Linked DNA regions of Macaca mulatta. The protein of the gene in region 4 interacts with the protein of the main gene of each other region in a pairwise test. Links are inferred from orthologs where the notes say so. Each region holds a gene or a part of one and is shown on either strand. Other genes may lie near its edges.

The links.
Region 1: the proteins of HABP4 (region 4) and C1QBP interact in a two-hybrid assay, tested with the Homo sapiens proteins (2 studies listed by BioGRID and IntAct). The link is inferred for Macaca mulatta from reciprocal best matches to the Homo sapiens genes HABP4 and C1QBP.
Region 2: the proteins of HABP4 (region 4) and RACK1 interact in a two-hybrid assay, tested with the Homo sapiens proteins (2 studies listed by BioGRID). The link is inferred for Macaca mulatta from reciprocal best matches to the Homo sapiens genes HABP4 and RACK1.
Region 3: the proteins of HABP4 (region 4) and YBX1 interact in a two-hybrid assay, tested with the Homo sapiens proteins (2 studies listed by BioGRID and IntAct). The link is inferred for Macaca mulatta from reciprocal best matches to the Homo sapiens genes HABP4 and YBX1.

Annotation. Positions count from the first base shown.
Region 1 is NC_133421.1:6,937,391-6,945,257, reverse strand, and holds the start of C1QBP (complement component 1 Q subcomponent-binding protein, mitochondrial), read left to right. Parts: upstream 1-2,838; 5' UTR 2,839-2,891; coding exon 2,892-3,123; intron 3,124-3,706; coding exon 3,707-3,857; intron 3,858-6,949; coding exon 6,950-7,043; intron 7,044-7,407; exon of another isoform or gene 7,408-7,519; intron 7,520-7,867.
Region 2 is NC_133411.1:190,282,509-190,290,331, forward strand, and holds the start of RACK1 (small ribosomal subunit protein RACK1), read right to left. Parts: upstream 5,120-7,823; 5' UTR 5,016-5,119; coding exon 4,907-5,015; intron 4,620-4,906; exon of another isoform or gene 4,552-4,619; intron 3,575-4,551; coding exon 3,403-3,574; intron 3,121-3,402; exon of another isoform or gene 3,042-3,120; intron 2,927-3,041; coding exon 2,779-2,926; intron 1,306-2,778; coding exon 1,210-1,305; intron 883-1,209; coding exon 772-882; intron 1-771. UniProt on the Homo sapiens protein: Scaffolding protein involved in the recruitment, assembly and/or regulation of a variety of signaling molecules. Interacts with a wide variety of proteins and plays a role in many cellular processes.
Region 3 is NC_133406.1:198,073,727-198,081,446, forward strand, and holds the start of YBX1 (Y-box-binding protein 1), read right to left. Parts: upstream 5,153-7,720; 5' UTR 5,014-5,152; coding exon 4,848-5,013; intron 4,713-4,847; exon of another isoform or gene 4,214-4,712; intron 4,177-4,213; coding exon 4,113-4,176; intron 1-4,112. UniProt on the Homo sapiens protein: DNA- and RNA-binding protein involved in various processes, such as translational repression, RNA stabilization, mRNA splicing, DNA repair and transcription regulation.
Region 4 is NC_133420.1:127,027,726-127,035,569, forward strand, and holds the start of HABP4 (intracellular hyaluronan-binding protein 4), read right to left. Parts: upstream 4,823-7,844; 5' UTR 4,700-4,822; coding exon 4,348-4,699; intron 1-4,347. UniProt on the Homo sapiens protein: Ribosome-binding protein that promotes ribosome hibernation, a process during which ribosomes are stabilized in an inactive state and preserved from proteasomal degradation.

The DNA.
Region 1 (7,867 bases), on a different chromosome or scaffold from region 4:
CAGGGTTTGCAGTGAGCCAAGATTGCGCCACTGCATTCCAGCCTGGCTGACAGTGCGAGACTGTCTCAGAAAAAAAAGAAAAACCTCGGGGTAATTTATGTCCAGCGTAAGTACCTGAACAGTTTCCAGAAATGTATTTTTTTTTTCTGAGAGGCAAAGGATGTAAACAGCTTCTAAGTAGCTTTAATGTTTCTGTACAGAAATATGTTTATCACTGTAACATTGTGGTAGAGTTTTAATACAGTATTTAGTTTTTTATTGGGCTTTTTAAAAAAGTTAACTTTTAACATAGCTGCTCAGGGATTAAACCAGATTGGACAACCCATTCTGACTCCACATATTACTACAAGGAAATACATCGTTGTTTCTATTGAGCTGCAAGGGATAGTACACTTTACGCTTAAGAAAGTTAAATGTTTCACAATAACATTGCAATATAACCTTCAGCTACTCTTCTTCAATTGGTAAAATCTGATGGTATGATACCTCTTTGCCAACCTACGAAACCCGTATCTGGAAGAGTCACCAGCTCCCGTGAGCAGCTTCATGTAAATAGATGCACTCCAAGCAGATCGCATGCCTCAGGTGTCTGTCTTCTAGTAATCATGGAGTATGCAACACCCAGAGTAACACGACAAGGGGCAGGACTGCAAACAGCAGGTCCTGCTACAAACCCTTAATGCTGCATTGCTGCCAGTTGTAAAGAGATGCCTGAATGGAGGCGAGTTTTGCCCTGTGGGTAAAACTGATGAAGTACTGTACTGTCATATAAATCCACTAAATCCAGCTACCAGGAACTGCCTGGAACTATGGCCATGCATTTTTTTATTTTCTTTAAAGACCAGTGTGATAGCAGGCCATGCATCTGAGATACGATATTCCTTGGTAACTAGAGGGAGGGAAAAAAAAGTCAAGTAGGTTCAGGCGTATGTTGTATTTTGAGAGTCTGGTTTTATTTGAACAGAAATAACTCTACAGAAAGCTCCTGTAAATAATGCTCAAATTTGCACTTGACGATCAAATCCATTAAAAATGAATCTTGTATATGATGTGTATGGCTTGTTTCTTGGGTCTCTTTTCCATTATTCATAGAAAATTATTTAGAAAATATTAAGTGTTAGTCTTATCATGAGTTAGTAAGACACACCTTCTTAGTAGCTTGTATATCCTGGGAAGGTAGGATTGTTGGTTCTTAATCTAAATCTGAACCCCATTTCTGGGTTCTATGAATTTAGTGGAGCAGCTCACAGAACTCAGGGAAACACTTTTACCAGTTTCGTATAAAAGATATGACCAAGGATACAGATGGAGATGAGCAGGGTGGGGAATAGGGAAGAAGCTCCGAGCTGCCACGCCCTCCCTGGGCCACCACCCTCCAGGAACCTCCGCGTATTCAGCTATCAGAGGCTCTCCAAACCCTGTCCTTGGGTTTTTATGGAAGCTTCTGGACCTATCTAAATGATACAAGCCGGCTTCTTGTCCCCAGAAAAATGATGTTCCATTAGAACTTGGATGCAGGGTCGGAGGTGCAGAGAGGGAAGGTCACAGAAATTACTCATGGATCCTGCCCTTCAGGATGTCACAGTCTGGTTGGGTTTAACCCGGTTAAAACCAGCAATGCCAGGAGGTTTCTGTTGAAAAGAGAATGAAGCCTAAGGGCTGGGTGCGCACAAGCATGAGTTCTAAGCCGATGGAAAAAAGGAGGTTCTAGGAAGGCCTCTTTCAGGAAAACCCTGACTTCTTCCTTTGCTCTTACAACAATCAGCACAGAAGAGTTCTGTGACCAAAGGTTTGGGTTTTTTCCCTCCACACTAAGCAGCAGACACGAGCGGGGTGTCCTCCAATTCAATCCCAACATTATCTACCTGGAGACAGTGTCAGATCCCATGAGACAGTGTCAGATCCCATAGGTTGAGGGCTCAGTCCCCAAGACCGCCCCGACCTTCAGACAGCAATGGCAAGTCTGGGCCTCTGAAACTTCCGACCAGCCCGCTTCAAGTGGGGGTTCCCACGACCCCCCTCTTTGGGTTGTATTAACTCACTGGAGCAGCTCACAGAACTCAGGGAAACACTTTTACCGGTTTCATATAAAGGATATTACCAAGGATACAGATGAGATGAGCAGGGTGGGCAGTGGGGAAGAAGCTCCGAGCTTCCTCGCCGTCCCTGGGCCACCACCCTCCAGGAACCTCCACGTATTCAGCTATCAGAGGTTCTGCAAACCCTGTCCTCATGGGTTTTTATGGAAGCTTCTGGACATCAGCATCCCTTCCCCCAGGGTAGAGGGTGGGACCTTCTCTGGGAAGGGACTTAAGACCCATAATCAGAAATGTGGGAGATTAGAGTCCTGCATTGGGGCGGGTGAAAGGAGGGCGGGAGAAGGGGAGAGTGAGAGTCTGTTTCCTGAGGCCTAACACACCCAACATTATCACAGAACACTGTAACGAGGGCTATGGGAGTTACGACCCAGGAACTGGGGATGAAAACCAATAAATACATAATATAACACCACAGCCTCCTAGAGGAAAGTGACCGTGTAAGGGGCTGGTGAGAGCTGGGGGAAGACAAGAGTGCATTCCACACAGCCCAAAAGCCTGGCGTGCCTTGAAAACAGTAGGTGGAAGCGGCCACTAGAAATAATTAAACAGCTTCGGACAGAGGACTCAGGCCAGCGCAGCAAGAAGGCTCCGGAAACCGGATTCGAGGCTTCCCGGGCTGCACAGGAGGCCTCCAGCAGAAGGCGCGATTCCGCCTGGGGCCTTAGGTCCTCAGTGCGCCGGCGCGGGAAGCGCTTCCGGGCAAGGGCGGGGCTTCCGGCGGCGCTTTAGGTCGCGGGGTACTTGGGCCTGGGTTGTCCTTTGCATCTGCACGTGTTCGCAGTGGATTGCGCGATGCTACCTCTGCTGCGCTGCGTGCCTCGTGTGCTGGGCTCCGCCGTCCCCAGCCTCCGCGCTGCCGCGCCCGCCTCGCCTTTCCGGCAGCTCCTGCAGCCGGCGCCCCGGCTGTGCGCCCGGCCCTTCGGGCTGCTCAGCGTGCGCACAGGTTCCGAGCGGCGGCCGGGCCTCCTGCGGCCTCGAGGACCCTGCGCCTGTGGCTGTGGCTGCGGCTTGCTGCACACTGAAGGTGAGGTTCGCGCACGCGGGCCAGGGGTGTGGTTTGCGGTTCACGGAGGGGAAAAGACCAGGAGTGGGGCCTGCAACCGACCTCCGAGGTCTGGGACATTTTTCCATTGATTGGCAACCAGCGGGTTAAACCCACGTGTGATCATATTCCCCCCACCTCCCCTATCCACCAGTTTCATTTTCTGTTGGTAGGGGGGTGAATAAAATTAAATACTAGAGGGTACCTTCATCCTTAGTCTTATTCTCTCGAAAGTGGACTTTTGGGAAAGCCCAAGGTCGTGTTTGAAAATAGCATACGATACAACTATCGTTTGGCAAGTGGAAGAGGATGATCGGAAATTCTTCTGCTTTATAGCGGAAAGTGGTAATGCGTTCATTGTTGGAAATCACTTTTCCAGCATCAGGCTCAGCTTCCCACTAATATTATGGTATTTTTACAGATAAGGAAACTGAGGCTTCTAGAGTAACTGTAATAGCAGAGAGATTAGAAATAGTCCAGGTTTCTGGCTGCGATAACCAGGGTAATAGTTTTATGTTTTAGACTAACTGGCTTTCCTTTTTATGTATATGGATTTCTTTTCTAGGAGACAAAGCTTTTGTTGATTTCCTGAAGGATGAAATTGAGGAGGAAAGAAAAATCCAGAAGCATAAAACCCTCCCTAAGATGTCTGGAGGTTGGGAGCTGGAACTGAATGGGACAGAAGCGAAATTAGTGCGGAAAGTTGCCGGGGAAAAGTAAGTACTGGTCTGGGGATCCCAGGGCACCGACTCCCTTAACCTTGCAAGACCCGTCCTGAGTCATCCCTAGAAGAGCCTTGAGTTCAGGTGTGGATAAATGGTTTTCAAGAGAGTGAAGGATTCAATTGGACAGCTTCATAAGGTCCAGGCAGTCCATTCACTGAACACAAATTTGCTGTGGGCTGGTTACTAAGGAGACAAAAATGTAGCGCAAAAAAGTACTGACAGAATCTGTTTGATCTCTGATTTACAGCCCTGATACAGTAGCACCCTGCTCTCTGTAATGTTTAGCTTGGGTGAAAATGCAAGGCATGTAACTTATATGTAACAGGATGGGGTTCCACTGTAGATAAGGGCTGCCATCAGAGGCGGGGAGTTTGTGACCTAAGTCAGGTGCCCCACCTTCTCCTAAACTGTTAGTGTTTACACTTTTCTGCTTTATAGTCATCCATAATCTCATTACACAGATAAACATTTGTCATCTTCCAGATTTTTAAATTGAGGCTGGGTGCAGTGGCTCACGCCTATAATCCCAGCACTTTGGGAGGCAGAGACGGCAGATCATGAGGTCAGGAGATCGAGAACATCCTGGCTAACACTGAAACCCTGTCTCTACTAAAAATTTTAACAGGGTGTGGTGGCAAGCACCTGTAGTCCCAGCTACTCAGGAGGCTGAGGCAGGAGAATCGCTTGAACCCCCGGGTTTCAGTGAGCCGAGATGGCGCCACTGTACTCCAGCCTGAGGGACAGAGCAAGACTCCATCTCAAAAAAATAATAAATAAATAAATAAATTGAATTTTCTTTATAATTGACCTTATGATGTATATATAATTCTTTTTTAAAATCACAGCTTTAATGTGATTTAATTTATATGGCATAAAATTTACCCATTTATTGAAGTTTATTAAATTAAGTGGTTCTTAGTCCTCACAGAATTATGCATCGGTTACCACTACCTAATTCTAGAACATTGTTGTCAATCCCCAAACAATACCTATTAGCAGTCACTCATTATTCCTCCCTCTAGCCACCCCAGGTAATCACTAAGCTACTTTATGGATTGCCTCTTTTGGACATTTCATATAAATGGAATCATACAATTTGTAGCTTCCTCCCCACCCCACGGAGTCTTGCTATTACCCAGGATGGAGTGCAGTGGCACGATCTTGGCTCACTGCAGCCTCTGCCTCCCGGATTCGGACAATTCTCCTGCTTCAGCCTCCTGAGTAGCTGAGATTACAGGCATGCGTCCAGTTAATTTTTGTATTTTTAGTAGAGATGGGGTTTCGCCATGTTGGCCAGGCTGGTCTCAAACTCCTGACCTCGTGATCCGCCCTCCTCGGTCTCCCAGAGTGCTGTGATTACAGGTGTGAGCCACCCTGCCCAGCCTGTTTACATTTTTAATTGTTGGGTTGTAAGAGTTCTTTAGTTTTGACCGGGCACGGTGGCTCACACCTTTAATCCCAGCACTTTGGGAGGCCGAGGCAGGTGGATCACAAGGTCAGGAGATCAAGACCATCCTGGGTAATGCAGTGAAACCCTGTCTCTACTAAAAGTACAAAAAATTAGCCAGGTGTAGTGGCGGGCGCCTGTAGTCCCAGCTACTCAGGAGGCTGAGGCAGGAGAATGGCATGAAGCCCAGAGGCAGAGGTTGCAGTGAGCCGAGATCACGTCACTGCACTCCAGCCTGGGCGACAGAGTGAGACTCTGTCTCAAAAAAAAAAGAATTCTTTAGTTTTTCTGGGTATAGTGATCTTACCAAATTAATGATTTGCAAGTATTGTTCCCCATCTTGTGGGTTTTCTTTTCACTTTCTTTGTAATGCCCTCTGACACAAAAGTTTCTGATTTTGAGGAAGTTCAGTTTACCTATTTTTTTGGTTGCTTGTGCTTTTTTTAGTGTCACATCTAAGAAACCACTGCCTCGCCCAAGGTTGTGAAGATTTATGCCTTAATTTTTTCAGAGTTTTCTAGTTTTAGCTCTTAGTTGAGGTCTGTGATTCATTTTGAGTATGATGTGAAGTAGGGTACCAATTCTCTTGGCTATTGTGTAGTGTGGTTTTTCCCTACACAGGTCAATTGTGTCTTCTGTAATCTCACCTAAAAACCATTTGCACAAGGTTTTCATAGCTATTTGGGGGCCATTAAAAATAATGCTCTGACGAACATCATTCCATTTCTGTGCCCAGGAGCTCAGCTTGGTCAGCACAGTTGGAATCAGACAGATTGTGTCAACCTCAGACTGCCTCTGTTACTATGGAAAGGTGACTTCCTGGCAAAGCAGCTAGTTAGCACAAGTCGAGGGGGCGGTACTTCATGGAACTTGTATGGAACGGTGCCTGCCAGAGTTGCATAGTCCAGCAGTTCTGGTTCTAAACTTTATCTCCCAGGAATTTTGACTCAAACTTTGGGACATGATTTGTCAGGTGTGGATTCTTGCACCTTAAAATTGTCGCTAGTTGGTGTCTCTGGCCTGCTTTGTGATGATAAAACTTCCCACAAGTACTCTGAAGGATGACTGTCTACTACAGCCGTTTTTTTCTTTGTGAGGCATCCCCTTCCCGAGGCCAGGGCTGCTCTCCGTGTTTAACAGATGCAACCCTCCATTGCTCCTTCTTCCTTTCCTTGCAGGGCAAATTTTCTTATGGGGAAAGGCTCTTAAAGGGGCTTCTGTTCCATCTCACCAGCCTCCCAGGTCCTTACTTTCACCAAGGGTTCCTTGGAAAGACCAGGGTGGGCAGTGTCAGCTGGCTGTGGCCATGAGATGCCCAGTCAACACATGGCAGTGAGCCCTGGGGTACTGGCCCTGTTGGGAGTAACCCATGCATGACTTGTTTGGCTGAGATAAGCTGAGGCCAGCTTTGGCTTCCAGCAGCTGGTACATGGTAGGCACACTTGAGACCTGCTGAATCACTCAGGACTGGATGTAGGTACCAGCCTTGTTTGAAGTTCTGCATATAATTCAGCCAGCTAGGATAGAGACATTGTTTCAGTACACCTTTGTAACTGTAGCAGACCTCCCTGTTTGTGTGTTAACCTACTCAGTTAAAATGATGCCTTGTCTGTTATGTTTTCTCTTGCCCTTTTAGAATCATTGTCACTTTCAACATTAACAACAGCATCCCACCAACATTTGATGGTGAGGAGGAACCCACGCAAAAGCAGAAGGTTGAAGAACAGGAGGTAAGCTTAACACTATGATCAGCTTTTACCTCAGTTCTGACAGGCTGTCCCTGGGACTTAAAGAAGGAGCGTTTTTCTTTGTTCTTTAAAAAAAAAAAAATTTTTTTTTCCTCTAAGGCCAGGCACGTGGCTCACGCCTGAATCCCAGCACTTTGGGAGGGCAAGGTAGAAAGATCCCTTGAGGCCAGGAGGACCAGCCTGAGTAACATGGCAAGACCCTGCCTCTACGAAAGTTTAAAAAAAAACAAATTAGCTGGGCATGGTGGCACGACTGTGGTTCCAGCTATGCAGGAGGCTGAGGCAGGAGGAATCAGTGGTTTCTGGCCAGCTTTAACAGGACTGTGGCCCTCTTCCTTTTCCCAGGGGCAAAATACGTTGCTGTCTGCCAGCTCAGGCTTAGTGGTTTGGCTGGAAAGGAAATGAAATGTTCTCAGCCTTTCCCATGATAGGGAGTTTTGTTGTTTTTGAGAGAAGGTCTCGCTCCATTGCCCAGGCTGGAGTGCAGTGGCACGATCTCTGCCCACTGCAGCTTCCACCTCCCACGTTCAAGCGATTCCCCTACCTCAGCCTCCCCAGTAGCTGGGATTACAGACATGTGCCACCACACCTGGTTAATATTTGTATTTTTAGTAGAGACAGGGTTTCACCGTGGTTGCCAGGCTGGCCTCAAACTCCTGACCTCAAGTGATCCAGCCACCTTGGCCTCCCAAAGTGCCGGGATTATGGGCGTGAGCCACCACGCCCGGCCTATGGGGAGATTTTTTATATTGGAGGTTATCATTTGGTGTGTTTGCATGTGTGGAATGTTCCTAACATATCAGTCA
Region 2 (7,823 bases), on a different chromosome or scaffold from region 4:
ATCAGGACACAGTGACTTCTTCCAGATGTTAATCCTGCCCATCTCAAGATTCTGTCAGAATCAATTCTTACCTTTCCTCCATTACCTCAGGCTTCTTTGAAAACTAATGACTCAAGTACCAACATTGATCTCTGTATGCCTTTCCTTTAAGGTTAAGACCTTACCAACCCTATCAAAAAACCCCTCCCAACTTACATAAATCACTCTAATCGTTTCTGAAAACCAGGATCTCAATCTCATCAATTGCTTCGAGGAACCAACTTTAGGCCGGGCGCTGTGGCTTACGCCTGTAATCCCAGCACTTTGGGAAGCTGAGGCCAGTGGATCACCTGAGGTCAGGAGTTCAAGCCCTGCCTGGCCAACATGGTGAAACTCTGTCTCTACTAAAATACAAAAATTACCCAGGCATGATGGTGGGTGCCTATAATCCCAGCTACTAGGGAGGCTGAGACAGGACAATTGCTTGAACCAGGGAGATGGTTGCGGTGAGCTGAGATCATGCCACTGCACTCCAGCTTTGGCGGCTGAGTGAGACTCCGTCTCAAAATAAACCCAACCTTATAGAAAATAATCGTTTTCTTCCAGACAGTATGCCTTAACTGTCATTTGCTGAAAGTAATCTTTGGAAACATTCTCAGATTGCCATTATCTCATTATCCTCCTGAAACCATCCTGACTAATGTTTGCCGTTTTATGTTAGAGACGCTGGCTAAGTGCTCCTTCCATGATGCTGGTCTTCCACTGAGCAGGAGACTCCTGGTCCCCAAATACCTTGCCTCCAGAAGCACAGAGGGATCCGTCTGGAGAGACAGTCACCGTGTTCAGATAGCCCGTGTGGCCAATGTGGTTGGTCTTCAGCTTGCAGTTAGCCAGGTTCCATACCTGCATAGATGTGAAGTTGACAGGTGAATATCCTGGCTCTGGATCAACCAGGGTCAGGTCCAACAAAAAAGGGCTTGGCATTCCTGGCTACAGTAGCCATTTATCATTCAGTAACATGTCCTGGCCACTTAACCTTAGATTGTAACACACATCCAATGCAGTGTGCTCACTTACAAGGGACATCAATTAGCTACTTCAAACCATGTGACAAGAGAAAGAGTCAACTGAGAGAATCTGTAAAGCTTTCCACAGGAGTTGGAGCGTATGACCACCTGGGAGCACAGCACACCCTGACTGGTAAAGCCCCTGCCTTGGCTTGAAGCTCACCTTGACCAGCTTGTCCCAGCCGCAGGAGACGATGATAGGGTTGCTGCTGTTAGGCGAGAAGCGGACACAAGACACCCACTCTGAGTGGCTCTCATCCTACAGAGGATGAAAAGGAAATAAGGGGAAACAGTCCTATCCCATGAAATGCTAGACCCCCCCCCAGCCAGATGATGGCTGGCAGCACCTTTCAAAAACCCAGAACCCAAACCTTTAAGGTCAACAGAATCCCTTTAGATTCCAGATAAGAATTTCTTTTTAAATTTAGAGACGGGGGTTGGACGCAGTGGATCACGCCTGTAATCCCAGCACTTGGGGAGGGCGAGGTGAGTGGATCACCTGAGGTCAGGAGTTTGACATCAGCTTGGCCAACATGGTGAAACCGTCTCTACCAAAAACACAAAAATTCACCGGGTGTGGTGGTGGGTGCCTGTAATCCCAGCTACATGGAAGGCTCAGGCAGGAGCATTGCTTAAACGCAGGAAGCGAAGTTTACAGTGAGCCACGATTGTGCCATTGCACTCCAGCCAGCGCAATGAACGAGTGAAACTTCATCTCAAAAAAGGGCCAGGTGCGGTGGCTCACGCCTGTAACCCCAGCACTTTAGGAGGCCAAGGTGGGCGGATCACGAGGTGAGGAGATCAAGACCACCTGGCTAACACGGTGAATCCTCGTCTCCACTAAAAATACAAAAAAATTAGCTGGGCATGCTGTAGTCCCAGCTACTCGAGAAGCTGAGGCAAGAGAATGGCATGAACCTGGGAGGCGGAGGTTGCAGTGGGCCAAGATCGCACACTGCACTCCAGCCTGGGCAACAGGGTGAGACTCCATCTCAAAATAAATAAAAATTTTTATGGATGGGGTCTCACTGTGTTGGCCAGGCTGCTCTCCTGTCCTCAAGCAATCCTCCCACCTTGGCCTACCAGAGCATGAGCCCAGCCAAGACTTTAAAAAGGCAGAGAGCCGGGCACGGTGGCTCACGCCCGTAATCCCAGCACTTTGGGAGGCTGAGGCGGGCAGATCACCTGACGTTGGGAGTTCAAGACCAGCCTGACCAACATGGAGAAACCCCATCTCTACTAAAAATACAAAACCAGGCGTGGTGGCACATGCCTGTAATCCCAGCTACTTGGGAAGCTGAGGTAGAATTGCTTGAACTCGGGAGGCGGAGGTTGTGGTCAGCTGCGGTCACGCCATTGCACCCCAGCCTGGGCAATGAGCAAAACTGTCTTTAAAAAAAAAAAAAAAAAAAGGGTAAAGATATGCAGGCCATGGTGGCTCACGCCTGTAATCCCAGCACTTTGGGAGGCTGAGGCGGGCAGACTGCCTAAGCTCAGTTCGAGACCACCCTGGTGGTGCGCACCTGTAGCACCAGCTACTGTGGAGACTGAGGCACCAGAATCACCTGAGCCTGGGAGGCAGAGGTTGCAGTAAGCTGACACAGCGCCACTGCACTTCAGCCTGGGCGACAGAGTGAGACTGTCTCAAAATAAAAAAAAAAAAAAAAAGTAAAGGTTAAGAGAGTGGGAGAGATCCTTGGAGATGTGCTCTCTGACCATGGCCTCACTTTACCTGGACAGTGTATTTGCACACACCCAGGGTATTCCATAGCTTGATGGTTTTATCTCGAGATCCAGAGACAATCTGCCGGTTGTCAGAGGAGAAGGCCACACTCAGCACATCCTTGGTATGGCCCACAAATCGCCTCGTGGTGGTGCCCCTAAGAGGGAGGACTTTGTCATTCTCAGACTTAACAAACATTCTCATTCAAGGGTCAGACTGATTCCTGGGCCTTGTCTCTGTCTCATTGCATTACTCACACATATATGACAAAGAATCCCTTCAGAATTGCAGGACATGTCCTCACTCCCACATGGGGATTGGCTGACAATGTCATCTGTCATCACCAGGACCCTCTAATTCCACCTGCCAATCACCTCAGCTTTCAAGGTAAAACATGTTCAAACTGCTGCCTACTCAAAACTGTCGCACCTGGTAGATATGTTCAACCACACTCCTCAGCAATCCTGAGTAACTAATTCAAAGCGAGGGAGGCCAAACATCTTCTGTAGGTGCAGTCTGCTTTCCAGTTCCCAAATGGACTGGATCTCCCCTGGGAAACCAGCCAATTGCATCCACCACATTTCTGCCCAGATTTTTTCCCAAGGCCCCAGAGCTAAGTGAGCAGCTACTTGCGTTGTGAGATCCCAGAGGCGCAGGGTTCCATCCCAGGAGCCTGAGAGGGCAAACTGGCCATCTGAGGAGATAACCACATCACTAACAAAGTGGGAGTGACCCCGCAGAGCACGCTGTGGAATTCCATAGTTGGTCTCATCCCTGGTCAGTTTCCACATGATGATGGTCTTATCTAAAAGCGGCCAAACAGAAGAAAAACCAGTGAGGAACCCGCAGCCAGTTTGTTAACACACTGGATAATTCACTAAGTGTCAAGGTCATGAGTGGGTTAACAACTAAGGATGCTTAAGGAGGGATGGAACAACAGACTACAAGAGCAGTTACAGGCCAGGACTGAGTGGCTCTATTCCAGACTAAAAACGCACGCAGAGCTAAACTGTACCGTGATAACTCTTTTTTTTTTTTTTTTTTGAGATGGAGTCTCACTCTGTCACCCAGGCTGGAGTGCAATGGCATGATCTCGGCTCACTGCAACCTCCACCTCCCGTGTTCAAGCAATTCTCCTGCCTCAGCCTCCCTAGTAGCTGGAATTACAGGCCACCCCCAGCACGCCTGGCTTTTTTTTTTTTTTTAAACTAGAGATGGGGTTTCACCATTGGCCAGGCTAGTTTCGAACTCCTGACCTAAGGTGATCCGCCCGCCTCTGCCTCCCAAAGTGCTGGGATTATAGCCGTGAGCCACCGTGCCCGGTCTGTATCCTGAGAACTTAATTTAGGTGCCAGAAATTACAGACACCCTTTCCTGAAACTCAGACGAACTCAACAGCCACCACGTATCTTCTCTGCAACCGAATGCACAGCAGTTCGTGGCTGTAGAGTAGCTGGGGCCTCCCATGCCTCCCATGAGGGCCGACAGAAATGTTATAATGAATGCTGGAAAAGCCACTTTAGGCGCTACAGGATCGGATGCTTTTACTGAAACCTGTCCCACTCAACAATTTTACGATTAACAGCCAGACATGATTCAAGAGTCACACAATTCTTAACAGTGTAGGAGCAAAGGGGAAGCACAACAAGTGTCCAAACGCAGTCAGGCACACAGGGATAGGGACGGGGAGGGGAGACCCAGGGGCAGAAAAAGTAGGACGAGACTTGAGCCACGAGGTCCTCTGGAGTCCACCCGCCTCCCCACGAGCCTTGGGCCGGGCGGCAGCTCAGAAACAGCCTCTGGATTTCAGCACCGACACTCAGATGGCATGTTGGGGTCATCACCGCCCCGCCCGGCCCGTAGGCCCCCGACCACACTACGAAGGGGAAGGCAGAAGATGTTTTAAAAGTTTCCAACTCTCCAACCCTAACAGCCACGAGCCGCTCTACGTCTAGGTCCTCATCTGCAATGTGGTTCGCCCGGGCTGAGGCCTAGGCTCGCGTCCGCACGCCCCAAATCACAGTGAGGCAGAGAAGTTTGTCAGTCCCCGGCAGCGCGCGCGCCACCGGCCTGCCCGAACCACGCGGAATCCCCCAGCCCTGCAATCTCGGGTCCTGAAATCTACCTTAGTCCGTACCTCGAGAGGCGGACAGGATCATGTCCGGGAACTGCGGGGTAGTAGCGATCTGGGTTACCCAGCCGTTGTGGCCCTTGAGGGTGCCACGAAGGGTCATCTGCTCAGTCATGGCGGCGGCGAGCGCGTGTGTCGCTGCAGCGACGAGGATGGCACTGGATGGCTCAGAGAAACGAGCAACACAGCCGCTACCGCCGCCGCCTTGCAGTGAAAGAGAGAAGCCCTCTGCCGGAACCGGAAATACCCACTCGACCAAGTAAAATGGCGAGCCCCATGATACACTTCTGCTCAAGATGGCGGCGCCATGTAATGCAAAAGGCAAAGGGAAATTGCACGGCATCACAGTCCCCACTTCCGTACAACATAATCTGACAGCGCTTTATAAATACATTCTGAAACAAGCACATTCAAGTGTTTAAAAAGGCTTCTCAGGGATGATGTAGAGCGAGAAGCGAAAGAGGTGAAGTGTACGGCACATTCCCATGAGGACTCCCTGGCGGCTTCCCCGCCCCTATGTGGCGTAGCTCGAGCTCCGCCTGTTCCACTTGGTGCGGGGAGGGTTGACGGGGCAACCACAGGAGAGCTTAATTTTCAGTTCACTATCGTGGGTAACGATGGGCAATTTAAAAAAGTATGGCATTAAAATTTTAAAAATAAACTTTAAAACTGTGCTTCCGCGGGACCGTCCTCCCTCAAGAGGTTTTTGTTCTGATGCACACCAACTCCGGAAGGACTTAGTCCAGGCTGGACTAAGGCAGGAGAGGGTTACTCTGGATGTACTAAAAATTGGTCTCTTTTTGCCGGGCGCAGTGGCTCGTGCCTGTAATCATTCCACTTTGGGAGGCCGAGGGGGTGGATCACTTGAGGTCAGGAGTTCGAGACTAGCCTGGCCAACATGATGCAACCTCTTTCCAATAAATAAATAAATAAATAAATAAATAAGTAAAATTAGCCAGGTGTGGTGGCGGGTGCCTGTAATCCCAGCTACTCGGGAGGCTGAGGCAGGAGAATCCCTTGAACCTGGGAGGCAGAAGTTGCAGTGAATCGAGATCCCGCCACTGCACTCCAGCCTGGGCAGTAGAGCGAGACTCCGACTCAAATAAATACATACATACATACAATAAAATAATAAGGTGAAAATTGCCCTGTGTGTTGCTAGACTGCCAATCCATTCCTGCCTAGGTCAGAACACGGGAAGCTCTCGCAGAAACGGAAACGCCCAAAGGAGGACCTTAAAGTTCTGACTTCTGGGGACATCCACTGGAAAGCTCTCTCTGGGCCCAGTCACTGCACACAAAAGCCCAGGCGTCTGGGGGTCCAGTTGCACCCTGAAGGACGTGCCCAGACAGGGAAGCGGTGGAACACGGATACCTAGCTGTCCTTCTGCCTTCCACTCTACCTCAGGAATTTAAACAAGTAATGACTCTCATTCTCTCACATCTGACTATAAGAGTATTGGGCACCGTGTCTCTTCAAGTAGTTTTAAACAGGAGGACATATCAGGATGATAGCAGCCACCAACATCTATGCAAAATAAAGATGTCACATTTCTATTTGTGACATCTATCAACTTTTGTTTCTCATCTGTGAAATGAGATTGGAAATAACATTAGTATCTACATTACATGGTGTGGAAAGTAAAGAAGCAAATTAAGCGCCCTGAACAACGTCTGGCAGAGTAAATGTTGTGAAACTTAGTGAGCACCTCTTGGGTACCAAGCCTTATTTTAGGTTTTGGGGACAAAGCTGTGAACAAGACAGACGGGGGACTCTGGTTTATTTGCAGCTTACTTCCGGCGGTATGCGAAGAGGGGAGAACATTGGAGCAGATACACGGAGAGCGCACTGTGGGTATATGGGAGAATAATGTTCCGTGGAGGGACGTCGTGTAGGGGAAGAATGTTTCAATCGGAGGGAAGAGTTAGTGCCAACGTACTGAGCTGGAGTGTGGAGGGGCTGAGGACAGAGCAGTGAAATGGAGGGCGCAGTTAACCTACGGCCTTGAAGGCCTGGAGAAGAACCTTGGCAATGTCTGCTAGAAAGCCTGCGTAAAGGCAGAAGACAGGCGAGGAACGGTGGCAGAGCTGCCGCAGGCTGTACACGCCCAGGTGTGCAGAGGCCTGGATCCCTCCCTGAAACAGCTTGCTCAACTGGTCCATGGCAGATTCCCCTGCCTTCCGCCGCAGTCTCTGTCGGGCCCCGCGGAACGCTGTCCTGGCTGTGCTCCTCCGCAGCCTGTGGACCATCCTAAGGCTCCAGGTTTGTACATCACCTGCCTTCTTGGCACCCCCAGCTGACTGTTCTTTCGCTTTTCCAATACAAGACGCAATCCCGACCCAGGTGTTTTGTTTCTGTGGTGGTCGTGGAAGACCCCTGCCTTCACCCACCCGCTAACCAGCTTGCTGCCCCCGACTCGGGTCACGCCAGCGCCTCCCTGAGCCCTCGGGCGCAAATAGGTCAACGACCACACCCGCCTCCCGCTGTGGACTGAGTGAGATTCGCGGTGCGAGGGGTTCCCGGGTTGGGGCCCTAAAACGCCGAGGAGTAGCACTAGATTACACTGTCACATTCTTTTTTCCTTTCGAGAAACCTCATTCGGTTCTCTTTTTCTTGAACGTTCCACAGGGAGTCCAGGTTTAACACGAACCTCGCTGCAGGTCCCCGACCCACGCCCAAGGAAAAGACCTTCCCGCGCCGCGGGTCCCTCTCCCGGAAGCGGGCGGTTGCCACGCCCAACCCCACCCTGCCCCGCCCCCTTTCCCGCTCCGCCCCGGGGCTGCCCCCTTTCCCTGCCTCGCGAGACCTGGGCCGAGACCTCGGGAATGCTCCGGGCTCCTGCCGGCCTCTCCCGGCCGGGTTCTCTTGCACTAAAAATAGGCGACTGTGGCAGCGCCCCTCCTATGGGGCCTTGGGGGAAATT
Region 3 (7,720 bases), on a different chromosome or scaffold from region 4:
CACTTTGCGAAGCCGAGGCGGGTGGATCACCTGAGGTCAGGAGTTTGAGACCACCCTGGCCAACACGGAGAAACCCTGTCTCTACTAAAGATACAAGATTAGCCTGTGTGGTGGCGTGCGCCTGTAATCCCAGCTACTTGGGAGGCTGAGGCAGGAGAATTGCTTGAACCCGGGAAGTGGAGCTTGCAGTGAGATCACACTATTGCACTCCAGCCTGGGAAACAAGAGCGAAACTCCATCTCAAAAAAAAAAAAAAAAAAAAAAAAAAAAAAAAAATCACCCTTTAAAAAGGCAATATTCATTCTTACCTTGCAGGCCACATAAAGATTAAGTAAGATAAGGTGCAATGTTCTCTCCTTCAATTCTTCGCCTCCCAGTATCAGGAATTAAGCAAGTCCTTTTATTTGTAAAGCTGACCTACATGCTAAAACTAGAACTTTTTAACAATCCCAAACTTCACAAAGTAGATAGTGAAAGGCAGAAAGCTTTTCAAATCCAGGAACTACCAAGTCAGCACGCAAGAGCCCCAGTGACATACTTGGATCATTTAAGAATCTTTCAATGGCTAAAAATAATCACCCTAAGAAATTATCTGTAACTACGTGGACAACCACCAAATTGAAAATGGCTAGGGTCTATTTCAGAGACAGCATAACAGCAGTTGGTGAACACTAACTCCAGAGTGAAAAAACAGTTCCAATCCTGCCTGCCACTTATCACCTATGCTTATGGGGGCAAGTAACAACTTCTTTGTGCCTCAGAGTGACAGTACCTACACCTCAAAAGTTTTTAAAGATTAAGGGAATTGGCTCATTTTAAGCAACTTACTATAGACCCTAGTATAAATACTTGTTAGCTGTATCTATTTTCACCAACATGTGAAGGAAGTCACCTATCAGTTATGTACATATAGAATCCCCACAAGGCAGCCCCCACTCCAAAGGGAGACTTAAACCTGATAGGCGTGACTAAAGAGAACTAAACCTTTCCCTGGCTTGGTTTATTACATCTTCCCAGACCATGGGTAATCAACTCAAATGCACACACAGAGGCCAGGCGTGAAGCGAAGTCAGCAACCTAAGACAACTAAGCATGACAGACTGTTGTAAAAAAAAAAAAAAAAAAAGTATACTCCCCCCAAACGTGGTGACAATATGGCAGGTGGTTTTTACTATGTGGAAATACAGCCCCCAAAGCTAGCTAAAGTTCAGATCTTAACAATATAATAATCTGGATTACTTGGTGTCATCTCCTGAATTATAAATGTTAGTAATTAATCCCAATTCCTTTAAAAAATACTGTGCTGTCTAATCAAAGCATCTGGGAGTAGTCTTAGAAAGGTCACAAATTTGTGACCTTTGCTCCAAATTCTTTCTTCACCTCAAAACATAAAGAATTATTAATTTAGACATTCTAAGTACTCTGGAAACAGAAAAATATTCCTATTCTGGTCACCATAAACTGTTGCCAATTCATGGTAATCTTTGGTGAATATGGATCAATTCTCAACCACTAATAACATTCAACAGTAATATAGGAGGAGCATAATAAACCCCTCTAAGTCACATTCTCCAATTATGTTTTGTAGACAGAGTTCACAAAAGAATAACTCAATGAATTTCTTAGAATATCTAGATTACACAGTCTAACAAAATAAAGCCAAAACTTCTACTATTCTTAAAAGCTCTATTCTCATGTTACTTAGCACCTTCTTCACAATATAACCAATCAGGGAGAAGCCCTTTAATGAATTAATTCTAACAAGGTTGTAACAATTCATCAGGTGGTAATTCAGGCTGGAATAAACACATTTACAATGAAATTGCGTCTTTAAAGGCAGAAAATTTACATACAATGTTGTAATTATAAAAATACCGTACAATCCTGGAATATATAATCCAGCGTATCCAAAAACAGCAATTAAAAGTCGTCATAATAGTCATCCCAAACACTGCACTCTCTCCTTTATACAGAAAACAGCACGTTATGTGTCAGTCAGTCTGCCTCCCTCATAAGAGCCAGGTGCCTCCAGCCAAGTCCATTCGTTCTACTACAGGAACTACATATAGAACCAACTGCTAGCTTCCAAACTGATTTAACACATACATTTTCCTTAATTAAAGCAAATCTTCCCTGTATTTAATTGGAGTCAGAGTTTACAGCATCTTATTAAAAAATCCCAGAATAATTAAAACAACCAGTTCAGAAGCATAAAGAATATTTTAACCAGTTAATCTGACAAAATAATCGAGGTTAGGATAGTCCAAAGGACCATCAAAAGCCAATTCATAACTTGCCCTGGAGGATGACCAACTGAGTTGATTCCAATTCAGAACAGAGATATTCAATGAATAGTATCTCATGGACTAAATACTTATAAAGTGTAAAGATAATACTCTTATTTTGGACAAAACTATTGATTTCAAAAAATGTCATAACCTATGCCCACTTTAAAAAAAAATGCAGCGAAACAAGGCACATGCTAAAACTTCTTAAACACATACAAAAACTGCGATCTATCTGCTGAAAAGGATGCATATTTGCACACCAGAGTTACCATTACATTGGGTCAAGGGTTAAAAGCAGTGATTTTGAAGGTATGGCCCGAAGACCATTATCATTCCTGTTAAAAATGTACCCAGACCTAATGAATCCAAAGCTCAGAAGAAATACACCACTTAAATCACACCCTTCCAAGGTAAGCACACTTAAATTTGAAAACCACTGGTTTAAGAGTTAGACTAGTAAGGACAGTCAGTAAGACACAAATACAAACTAAAACACTAACAAATTCAGACAGATCAGTTAAAAAGCTATCAGTTTACCAATCATATATAAGCATTCCCTTTCTTCTTTGCTAGTAAGCTTTTATCAAAAAATTAATGAAAACCGTAGTTTCAGCCAGCCAGGAAGGCAAACAGTATAGAACAAGTTGGAAAATCCTAAGATTCTGGAAGAAACAAAATGTTTTCCCACAATTGCAAAAGTAGAGAATAGATCATCAAATGCTTATCTCTTACTTTAAGTATTTCCACAATACTCTATGATTGATTAATGAACAGTTTTTCATCAGGCCATGAATCTGTCCTTAAGCTTGATTTTGCCCATTTGTTGTCCATTCCACGTTGTTCTTTTAATCATCTGCTTAGGTCTTCTACAGTAAGTAAGCAAGAGAATGCTGAGATGGCACTTAAGTACCATACCTGTGAGGCCAAGATTGCTACTGGCATACCCAGTGCTCTACACCCATGTAACTGCACTACTAGCCTTGGCAGCCATCTTGAAAATGATGCCCGGCTCACAAGGAAGCCCATGGAATACTGTGCGTCTACTGCACGTTACCACCACCACTGCCACAAACAACCCGAAGGGTAAGTCCTAAAGACGTATCTGCAGCTTTACCTTCAAACAGGAAGAACAATGTCAAGTTACTAGTGACTATGGCCACTCTAATAAGCTACAGCCAGGGATCTAGCGGAAATTGACTTCATCAGCATGATTTTAGGACAAGGAAGAATGAAATAAGAACTGAAGGAAAAAAACCATTTTCTTGCAGATATATTATTTATGAACAAATAAAAACAGTTCTCTCTGGTCAAAGCTGTGCTAATACAGAATTTATCTCAGGTATTAAAATGAAACGTGAAACAAAGGCAATACAACCTCTCGGTAAAGATGACAAAACCTCATATACTTGACACGTCAAATCCTCTTACCCCCAAAATGTTAACAAGGCGTAAATATCCGATGTCAGTGGATCACATTCTCAAATACCGAGTTCAATAAAGTAGAAAAGGATGACAAGAATAAAAATCTACTGGACCGTACTTTCCCGTTTACCCTGTTAAGGAATGGCTCATTCACTCCGCTTGCCTTTTAAATTGCTTTGTGCTGTGACGAAGCCCTTGAAGTTAGCTTCAAATTAATATTTAGCTGCAAAACAAAGGCATTCTCTAAACCCAAATCCCTCCAGTCGTCAAGGAAAACAAACAGACAAAAAATCACATTAATACACCAGAGGTAGTAAACGCCTTTCAGAAGAGGACTGTGGATTGGCACAGCAAGAAGCAAGCAAGAAGGTAGGATGGAGGCTTCAGAGCCCAGCAGCTCACCTGTTGATGAAACCATATCCGTTCCTTACATTGAACCATTTTACTGTTCCCAAAACCTTCGTTGCTGGAAAAGAAAACAAAGCAAAACAAGCCACGATTACCAGCTATCCTTTTCCAAACCCGTCTCGCTTCGGCATCCGGTCCCTCGCACGCTGCCCGCCGCGGCCACCTGACAGCCCTTTCTCTCCACCGCCTGGGTGCGGGTCCGCGCCGGGGCCACGCCGCCGCCGCCGCACACGTGGGTGAGTCTGAAGCGCGGGGCGCTCCCGGGCAGGCCCGGGGCGCGGGCCCAGGATGGGTGTGTTCGCAGGCCGCGGACGGAGAGCACGTGAGGGAAGGGGAAGCCGCTCCGGACTGCGTAGGCGGTGCGCCGCGCTCTCCGAGCACACGCGGAAGGGAGCTGGGTGGGGGAGACGCGAACAACGGCGTGCGGGCCCGAGCGCACGAGGCCAGTCGGCGGGGAGGGGACCCCGTCGCACACGCGGTCGGCGGCGCGCGGCCGCAGGAGGAGGGGCGCGCGGCCGCGCGGGGTCCACAGGGGGCGCGGGAGGCAGTGTGCGCGCGCCTGCCGGGCGGGCCCCCGCAAGAGCGAGTGGGGGGGCGGGGGGAGGGGCGGCCGCGCGCCGCGGAGTCGGTCCCCACCGGCCGCGCGCCCGCCGGCTCGCCCAGCCCCGGCTAACGGTTCCGCTGCCAGGCTGCCCGAGGGCCCCACCCCCGTCCCTGTCCGGTCCTCACCGATGACCTTCTTGTCCCCGCCGGCAGGCGCCGCCGATGTGAGGCCGCCCGGGCCACCGCTCCCTGCGCCGCTGCCCGTAGTGCCGGGCTTGGTGTCGGCGGCGCTGAGGGCGGGGGCGGCGGGGGGGGCGGCGGGCGGCTGCTGGGTCTCGGCCTCGCTGCTCATGGTTGCGGTGATGGTGACTGGGGCCGGCTGCGGCAGCTGCGGCTCCTCCCGGGGTGTGATGGTAACTAGGCCGGCGGCGGCGGTGGGGCTGCTCAGGGCTCTCTGGGGTCCGCTCTCCGCTCCCGCTACCGATCGAACTAGCGAGAATGGCGGGACAGGCGGGATAAGCCCTACGATCGACCCGCCCTAGGCGTTGTTCACTGGCCGGTGGTACTGTCAATCTGCCCACCTGACCTCAGTCCCTGGCTTCTATTGACTAACATTTTATCAGTCCTCCACTCTCATTGGCTGTCTGGCGGCTAATTCAGCCGACCTACAACCGTTCCTGCCTCCGCCGGCCGCCATAGAGACCGGAACTAGAATTAGAGTAGTCGGCCACGAAAACCATAGAGTACCTGAGAGGACGGGCAGAGGGAACGTGACTTCCACGAGGCAGTCGACGGGCTGGCGGGCCCGACGTTCAGGGTTGTGTCTCGGCTGAAAAAAAGGCACGCCCGAACGCTGGGCAGGGATTACCCGGCCGGACCCGGGATTGGAAGGGGGCTCGACGACGCCTTAGCTCCCCGTGAAGAAAAGGCTTCCCTCCCTCCCTGCACCAAATACGGTCCCTGTGATCTGAGAACATTACGGCGGGCATAGAGTCGTCTTTTCTTTAATGGCCGTGTACTCGCGGCACAGCCGAGGGTTTCTGGAATTGCCTTAAACGTATGCGTTTGAAGAGCGTACGCTTTTGTCGGAGCAGTCACCTTGGAGGGACCACGCAGGCTCTGGCAGCCCGGGCTCAGCATGTTTAGGGCGAGGGTGTGCTCCATGGGGACCTGCCTTCTGATCCGTTTTACCAGGCATATATTTTTAAAAATGTGTCTTCCTTTTCAAGTGTTAACGTGTTTTTCTACTGGCCACAAATCAGATTTAATTCAACTCACATTTATTGAACAAGCTAGCGTCCTATGTTTTTTTTCATTTAATTCGTACAACAGCCATGTGATAGAGGAATTACTATCCACGTTTCACAAACGATAAAATTGAGGCTGCCACCTGATGTTACTGAAGTCCTCCACCCACCTTCTTTCGTTCTTTTTTAAGCGTCTACTATCGGCTGGGGATGGAATAGTTCGCGAGTCAGTTTCTGCCTTCTGATGGAGGCAGAAATTTAAACAGCCAACACGGTAAATACTCCAGAGCTGCAGAAGCACGAAGTATTTTGGGAGTAGAAGCAGGGAGAAGGTGGAGGGCTGACTTTCTGCGCACAGGGTACAGGCGAGAAGAGGTGGGATCTCGGGAAATGCAGTCAAGTAGTTCAGTAAGACTCGAATGTGACATTGGGTTGCAGAGGTGGGCAGAGTCACTTAGGTGTATTGAATTGGAAATATATCCTGAGGGGAAGAGTGAGAAGAGCAATTTTAGAGTCGTAAGTAGGGAGGGGCATCTTTTTAAAAATGGCTGCGGAGTGGAGAATGGGTTGCAGAGGGGCAAGGAATGGAAGTAGAGAAAGCAGTTAGGAGGCTAGTGCAGTATCCCTTACCCCTACCAATGCCGTCTAGGCCTGTCAGTTCCACCTCCTAAAGGCCTTCTTGAGTCAGTCCTAAACTCTCTAAATGTCAATTCAGAGTCTTCATTCCTACTGCCACTACTGTAGGCCATCATCGCCAATTGCTTAGAGCAAGGGGTAGGAACTTTTTCTGTGAGAACCAAATAATAATACAAGCTTGGCCGACAATATGGTTCTGACTTACTACTCAGGTTTGGAGCTTGAAAACAGCCCTAATTTTTACATGACACGAATCTTTACATATTTTCAACTATTTAAACATTTTAAAAACGATTCGTATTCTTAGCTCATGAGCCACAGAAAAACGGAGTGTAGTTGGCTGATCCCTAGTATAGAGCAGTGCTGTTGGCTACTAACCACACCTCTCTACCTCTGTCTTACTCTAATATTCCTCACCACAACAGCCAGAAAGTTCTTTTGAGAACATCTGTCTGATCATGACACTGTCTTACTTAAAATCTTCCAGTGACTACCATTACCCTTAGGGTAGTCCAGATTCCTTAATGTGGTTTACTGGACTCTATGATTTCTAAGAAGTCTTAGAGTCTTCTCTTGTATTCCCTGTCCAACCTTCCAGGTGCTTGTAACTACTGGCTGCAGGATACTGCAGGAGCAGAGGTAGCAAACAGCTGAATTCTGTGACAATAGAACTTGGTTAAAAGTGTTGCTTCAGTGTATCAGATGACAAGGGAGATGGTGAAATATTACAAGGCCCTACAGAATAGACACTTGCAACTCTCTAGCCAAGTAAACACGCTTCAGAGGGCACTGTAGAGAAAGGACTCATCTAGTAGAGTCCTTTAGCCACTGTTTCCTTTGGAGTATCACATAAAATTCTGCATATAACACCCTTCCTTTCCTCCTTCCTCTTTGCCTGCTTAATTCATCCTCTAGGTCTTCGCTCAGATGCTCCTAGGTTAAGAATCTCTCCCATCCTAACATACTGTATTGCTCTAATTAAATGTTCCCCACCAGACTGTGACTTCCTTGGGCATCTTAGTTCCTGACACATAATACCTTAAAATATTTGTTAAATGAGCGACATGGTGTAGAAAATGAATTGAAAAAGGTACTGGCAACAGAAAGGTAATCTGCGCAGCTGTGCCAGTAATCCAGGTGAAAGAGACTTTCAGCAGCAATGTGTACGGAGAGTGG
Region 4 (7,844 bases):
GCCACCACGCCCAGCTAATTTTTTGTATTTTTAGTAGAGATGGGGTTTCACTGGGTTAGCCAGGATGGTCTCGATCTCCTGACCTTGTGATCCGCCCGCCTCAGCCTCCCAAAGAGCTGGGATTACAGGTCAGGAGATTGAGACCATCCTGGCTAATGTGGTGAAACCCTGTCTCTATTAAAAATACAAAAAATTAGCTGGGCATGGTGGCAGGTGCCTGTAGTCCCAGCTACTCAGGAGGCTGAGGCAGAAGAATGGCTGAACTCCGGAGGTGGAGCCTGCAGTAAGCCCAGATCGTGCCACTGCACTCCAGCCTGGGGGACAGAGGGAGACCCTGTCTCAAAAAAACAAAAATAAAAAAGAGTTCAGAACGGGAAAAGGCGTTCACAACGTAAGGTAGAAAAAGCCACTATGAAAGTTAATTATCCAACAAGCTGAAAATTATAATAGATCATGACATAACAGTCATCAGAAAATTTGTCAGCAGTAACAAAACTTTTCCATACTTTTACGTCAGTGTAAAAAGAGTTAACATAGTTTCAGATTTCCTATTTCCAACCCATAGTTTTAAAAACATCTTTTACTATCTCCACTCGACTACAGAACTACTTATAGGTGCTTATCCCACCTTTCTGCTTCCTCCAAGTTACTTTTTAATTGTGTCAATTAAATTTGCAATTCATCAAACTTAAAATAGGACATTTACTGTACACCATATTAAAGCCTTTTCGAACAGTATAAACTGAAAACTGTTAAGTACAATGGGCTACTTATTAGAATAATTATCAATATCAAGCAAACATTTCATTTTCCCTCTCAAGCCCCCCAAAACAAAGATAATTAGAATAATTATCAGTTTTGGGCAAACATCTCCATTCTCCCTCCCAACCCTCCCAAAACAAAGATAATCAGCATCCAATTTTTTCCCCACAATTTAGTACTAAAAGATCAACACTGCCACGAATCGGGCTTTTCGGTGCTGGATCAGCAGCTCCAAGTGGAGAATGCAAGCACTGCATTTCACTAACCTCGCCAAGAAAAGGCTGGCACATGCATTCATCACCATCTAAACCAAGCCCAGGTAAAGAAACAGAATACAATAAAATTTACAGTAAGATTTCCCACAAAATAAAGTTGAGCTGTTTCAAAGCACATAATTCTGAAAGGCTAGAAAAACCAAAACTGAAACAGCCTCTCATGACTGAAACAGCCTCTCATGACTTTAAGAATGAACTTATTAGGCCAGGTGTGGTGGCTCACGCCTGTAATCCCAGCACTTTGGGAGGCCGAGACGGGCGGATCACGAGGTCAGGAGATCGAGACCATCCTGTCTAACATGGTGAAACCCCGTCTCTACTAAAAAATACAAAAAACTAGCCAGGCGAGGTGGCGGGTGTCTGTAATCCCAGCTACTCGGGAGGCTGAGGTAGGAGAATGGCATAAACCCGGGAGGCAGAGCTTGCAGTGAGCTGAGATCCGGCCACTGTACTCCAGCCTGGGCAACAGAGCCAGACTCCGTCTTAAAAAAAAAAAAAAAAAAAAAAAAAGAATGAACTTATTGAGCAAGGCTCACCCAAGGGTTTATATATATTGCTAGACAGATAGACATTAAAAAATCTACATTTTTGGTCGGGCATCGTGGCTCACACCTGCACGTTGGGAGGCTTAGACAGGCGGATCACCTGAAGTCAGGAGTTTAAGACCAGCCTGGACAACATGGTGAAACCCCATCTCTACTAAAAATACAAAAAATTAGGCCAGGCACGGTGGCTCACATCCCAGCACTTTGGGAGGCCAAGGCAGGCAGATCATGAGGTCAAGAGATCGAGACCATCCTGGCCAACATGGTGAACCCCTGCCTCTAGTAAAAAATATACAAAAATTAGCTGGGCATGGTGGCGCGCGCCTGCAGTCCCAGCTGCTCAGGAGGCTGAGGCAGGAGAATCGCTTGAACCCAAGAGGTGGTTGCAGTGAGTCAAGATCATGCCACTGCACTCCAGCCTGGGCGACAGAGCAAGACTCTGTCTCAAGAAAAAAAAACAAAACAAACAAAAAAACAACCCTTTTCCATAGGAAAAGCTTGTGACTTCCACATTCTTTCAGGATTAACATTTCTATGATATGTCAAACATGTTTTATTTTTGTCTATGCTAAGCATTCACTTACAACATTCTAACTAAATCAAAAATTTTGAATGTTAGAAAAGTACAGTGCTTCATATCAACTAGGGCTATAAAACCTTGAGAGAATAGCTCTTTGACACCCATTATAGATAAATTTAGTACAGTAACTACATAAATGGAAATTAATGAGCTGTTTGCTCCTGAAATAACACATACTTGAAAAAGAACTTGAATGATAAAATTTCCATTCTAACTACAAAATCAACTAAATACCTTTGATTTCAAAAGCCAGATCACTTAGACTGAACAACTGACAGAAAAAAAAGTTATAAGTGTACTACGTGACAACATTAAGTGCAGGAAACAGGTTGCAACCCAGTTTATATCACTTAAGTTTAGAAAGAAAAGAAATAGCTCTGTGCATTTATGTATATAAATGCAAAGTGTTAACAGTAGGAAAAATAAGAGGATTTTCACTTAACCTCATACATTTTGGAATTGCTTAAAATTTTTAATACAAAAATGCATGACAATTTTTAAAAGGCTAAAAATCAATGTATTAACAGCACTAACTCGTCTCACGTTTTTCTGAAGAACAGAATACGTATTTTCTTTTTTTTTTTTTTTTTTTTTTTGAGACGGAGTCTCGCTCTATCGCCAGGCTGGAGTGCAGAGGTGCGATTTCGACTCACTGCAAGCTCTGCCTCCCGGGTTCATGCCATTCTCCTGCCTTAGCCTCCCGAGTAGCTGGTACTACAGGTGCCTGCCACCGCGCCCGGCTAACTTTTTGTATTTTTAGTAGAGACGGGGTTTCACCGTGTTAGCCAGGATAGTCTCGATCTCCTGACCTCGCGGTCCGCCCATCTTGGCCTCCCAAAGTGCTGGGATTACAGGCGTGAGCCACCGCGCCCAGCATTTTCATTTGTGAAAAAATAAAGGGTGAAGAAAAGCTTAGCCTTCCTCAATTCTTTTATTATATTCATGTAAATAAATTTAAGAGAAAAACATAAAAAACAGGATATAAAATGCACAATGTATCTCCAGTCTGTTTAGATAATCTGCTCAGAAATTTACTGGCCTATCAAAGGCTCGTGAGATAGTCAATAACTTTTTTTTTTTTTTAAATCATTTTCAACATCTTTATTGTAGTGACTTGATTCTCACAAGTGATGACTCTGGATTTAACTTTTCACAAACAAAGGTAAACATTACCCAGCTGCGCATCAAAGCCCCAATACTGAAACCTGAGACGTTTCCTCAGGGCTGCGATGCACAATTTTTATCAAGCAAGGAACAAACCAGCAAGCCACGCTGCACACTCCGCCAAGCGTTGGCAGGAATGGTCAATCTACACATCTCACTCCTAACGCTCTGCAAACCTTGGGACCGCTGCCTCATTTCAAGAAAACAGAGGAAGCACAGGTGGAGCGTTGCTGGCTCCGCCACTGACGCAGTTCAGGTGAGAGCACGAACTCCCTCCCCGTCCGCAGGCAGCAGGACACCACGCTGCGCACTGGCTTTTCTTGCTAAACAGGGAGTGGGGAACTCCGGATATTCTGGCTGGAAAGGTTAAAAACGCTTTTCTTAAAGCAGCCTGGAGCTATTTATAAGTTGCACATCCCATCAGCACCACAAGAAGTACTGAAATACGATGCCCGCTGCCTGCTGGAAGCTACCGGACGGGGAAGGGGCGAAGGCGCCAGGCCGGACAGCGCCGAGGACCCGCGCCCGGGCCCCGACGTCACAGGCCGCCCCGCGGTCGCCCAGGCCGCCCGCATCACAGAGGCCTCCGGGACCGGGACCGGGCGCCCTCCTCCTCCCCACCGCGCTCTCGGGTGGCTCCGACCTCACTCCCGCAGAGGCGGGGCTGGAGGCTGGAGAAGGTCCCCGCCAGGTCTGGATGCGGGAGTCCCGGAGTAGCGACCTCAGCGTTCGCCCCCACACGCCACCCCGGCAACCTCCCTCAACTTCGTCCAACTTGCCGTAGCGGCTCCGAGCCAGGGTTCGGGGGCCCCCAAGCCAGCGTTTCCCCCGGGGCCCCGCACGCGGCCGGCGAGGGTTGGAAGGGGTGTGACCCCCGCCCCGCTCCTCCTACCTTCGGCGGCCACCGGGACCCTCAACTCTCCCGGCTCCTCCCGGGTCCCCCCTCCTGGAGCCGGCCCCCGGGACCCCAGTCTCTCCGCAGGGCGAGCCGTGGCCCGCTACCCCCGCCGTCCCCGCGTACCCGGCGCCTGCAGGCCGCCCCCGGGGCTGTCGGGCCGCTGAGCGACGGGCGCCGGGAGGCTCTTGCGCTCCTTCTGCGACTCCCTCCGGCCGCCCGCGCCGGCTCTGGGGCCCGAGGCCCCGGCCGGGCTCCTGCCGCCGCGGGGACCGGCCCGGGCCGCCGCCGCCGCCGCCTCGTCGCGCCTCTTGCGCTGCAGCTGCTGCTGGCGCCGGCGCTCGGCCTCGCGCAGGATGTCGAACGGGTCCGACTCGTCGTCCAGCAGCTGATGGAAGCGGTTGGCCACCACGCAGCCGAAACTCTCCTGCATCGCGGCGCCGGCGGCGGCCACGGGGCTCCCCAGGGCGCCCTTCATGCCGCCGCGACCACTGCGGGCCCGGGAGGGCAGCCCACGCGAGCGCGTCTCAGCGAAGCCGGCGGCGAGGACCCATGCCGCCCGCTCCGCCGCCGCCGCCGCCCTCCGGGCCCTACCCGGTCCGGCCCCTCCCGCCGCCCGCCCCCGCGGCGCCGCCGCCGCCGTCCGCCCCACCGCGCCAGGCAGCCAATCAGCGCGCGCGGGCACGCCCCCTTCCCGAGACGGCGCGCCTGGAGACCCAATCACCGACCGGCTGCTGTCACGTCACGCGACCTCTGAGCCCCGCCCCCTCCGCTCAGCAGGGAGGGGCGGGGCCCAGGGGCGGAGCTACTGGCTGGTCCAGGCGGCGCGGAGTGGCGGTGGTGTCTCGGCGGTGTGTGCCTTCTCCCGTGACTGCGTCTGTATTTGCTCTCGGCCACTCTGCTTTGAAGCTTATGTATACATTTAGCCGTGCAACAGCTGCATATTGCGCACTTACCGTGTGCCAGGCGTGATGTTGTAGGAAATACTAGCTCCGTGTTGTCACAGATCTGAGTCTGTGGATGGAGAAAAAGTGCCCTGAAGGACAGGCGCAGAGCTCTCCACGGGCTGCAGCAAAGGGACCTGACCTAATTGGGAAGTGACAGTTAAGCCGAGGGAGGGGGGTGACAAGGGGTCGGAGGAGGAACAGCAAGTGCAGCAGTCTTGAGGTGGGATGTGCACAGTCTGTTCAAGCTCAAAGTGGTCTCTAAGAGCCGTGGGAAGCAAGTTTTGAGCATGAGCGGATTTGGGTTTGAAAAGGCCACCCTACCTGCACTGTGAACTAATAGTTTGGAGGGAAATACAAATGCATGCTGGGAAGCCAAACGTGACTGTTGCGAAGCTCGAGGGAAGAGCTGATAATGACTGGGATTAGGATGGTGGCGGTGGCGGTGAAGAGAGTAGATGGGTTCAAAGACTTGGTGATGTGCTAGATGTGGTGATGAAGAAGAAGATATGGTGACTCTTATTTTCCTGGCTCCAGCATCTGAATGGTAGTATTAGTCACCACTGGAAGACACTACTTTAACGAGAATCATGAATTCAGTTTTGGACACGTTGAGGTTTGGATATTTGTTTTCTTTTGAGATGTTCAGTTGAGGCCTGGAGCTTAGAGAACGCTGGACTGGACTTCCTCCAGGAAATCTTGCATAGGCACCAGTGGAGCTACGCTTGGCTGCCTATCCTACAGCCATTCTTTCCCTCTTACATTTTTCCAGAGCCTGTATTATGTTCCGGCATCATATTCCCCAGGGGAAGCAGGCCCCTTCCAGCCTCCAACTTGATTATAATTCACTGCACCTGATTCCAATTCCTTGCCAATAATTGGCTTAGGAATAGGCTGTGGGGCAAATCAGCCAGAACAGATCTGAGGAGAAGTATTCTGGGGAAGTTTTTCTTGCACCTAAGAAGGGATTGAGAAGGGATCTGCCCCACTTCCGTTCCCTGGTCCTTGTTCCATAAGAAGATATGATGCCTGAGGTTGGCTGTTCCTTAGTGTGGCCATGAGGATGGCAGAGCAGGATGGAGAAAGCCTAGATCCTTGATGATGTTAAGCTGCCAACTGGACCCACTTGGGAACCTCCCCGCTTGAGGCTTATGATGTAAGATAACAGATTGATTGCGCTTAGTTGTGTTTGTTTCATCTGAAAGCATCCAGTTAGAGCATCTTGCCAGGTGCTCTGTGACCAGCTTTTACTTTCCTTTAATAGCAAATAGAAAAGGAATTCCTAATCCTAAACGCGGCAAAGTCTGTGTTTTACTCACTTACTGAATTCTGTGTTATTCCCAAGGAGGACAGGGATGATGCCTGTCTTATTCATTGCAGTATGTATTATTCCCAGTGCTTGGAGTTCTAGACGGCTATAGAGTAGGTTTTCAGTAAATATTTGTTGAATGATTGAAGAATTTAAGATATTTGGTCACCTCCTTTTGAGTGAGCAAAGATTAATGCCTATACTTTCTACCCAAAAGAATTAAAAGCAAGTGTTCAAACTAAAACTTGTATATACATATTCACAGCAGCACTACTCACAATAGCCAAAAGGCAGAAACAACTAAAATATATGTCACCCGATGAATGGATAAATAAAATGTGGTACAAAAAAGTATTATTTGGTCATAAAAAGGTATTGATACTTGTTACAACATGGATGAACCTTGAAAACGTAGTGCTAAGTGAAAGACGGACAATAAGGGCCACACGTTGTATGATTCCATTTATGTGAAATGTCCAGAATCTATAGAGACAGAAAGCAGATTGGTGGTTGCCAGGCGTGGGGGTCGGGAGTGTTGGAAAGTAACTGCTTAATGGGCCTGGGAGTTTCCTGTGGGGCGATGAAGTGTTCTGGGACAAGATAGTGGAGGTGGTTGCACAAAATTGTAAATTTAGTAAATGTCACTGAGTTATACACTTTAAAATTGTAAAAATAGTACATTTCGTGTAAAATTTAGTAAAAATAGTAAATTTTTTTTGTAAAAATAGTAAATTTATCTCAATGAACCAGAATCACTCCACGCACCAGAGACCACACTTTGAGAAGCCCTGCTTCAAGCTAAAGTTATCTTTGGTATCTTTAAACTGCTCACCAAACCACAAAACCAAGGAATCATGGCCATGTGAGAGAAGGGCCTGTCGTCTTCCCACTGGGCATCTGGAGTTAGCCTGCTCCCCCGTTTTCTTCTTATCTTCCTTCCAGCATAACCAGCCACTGTAAGTTCTTAAAGCATGCCCTGTGAGCACTGCCGCCTCATTTCCAAGTCACAAATGCCCCAAACAGTTGTAAGACAGCCAACTCATGTTGCTTCAGGATTCAGAACATCTTCAGAACCACTGAAATAAAGATGAGTAATCTCTACCTGGTATTAGCTGGCCATAAGTTTCTTTCTTTTGCGTGTGTGTGTGTGTGTGTGTGTGTTTAGTAGAGACAGGGTTTCACCATGTTGGTCAGGCTGGTCTCAAACTCACGTGATCCATCCACCTTGGCCTCCCAGAGTGCTGGGATTACAGGTGTGAGCCACCGTGCCCCGGCCATGGCCATGAGTTTCTTATGGGGCTATTGACTACTGCACAATTTACTGAGAGTAACATTAAGCAGCCTCATATTTTTTACTGACCATTATTTTC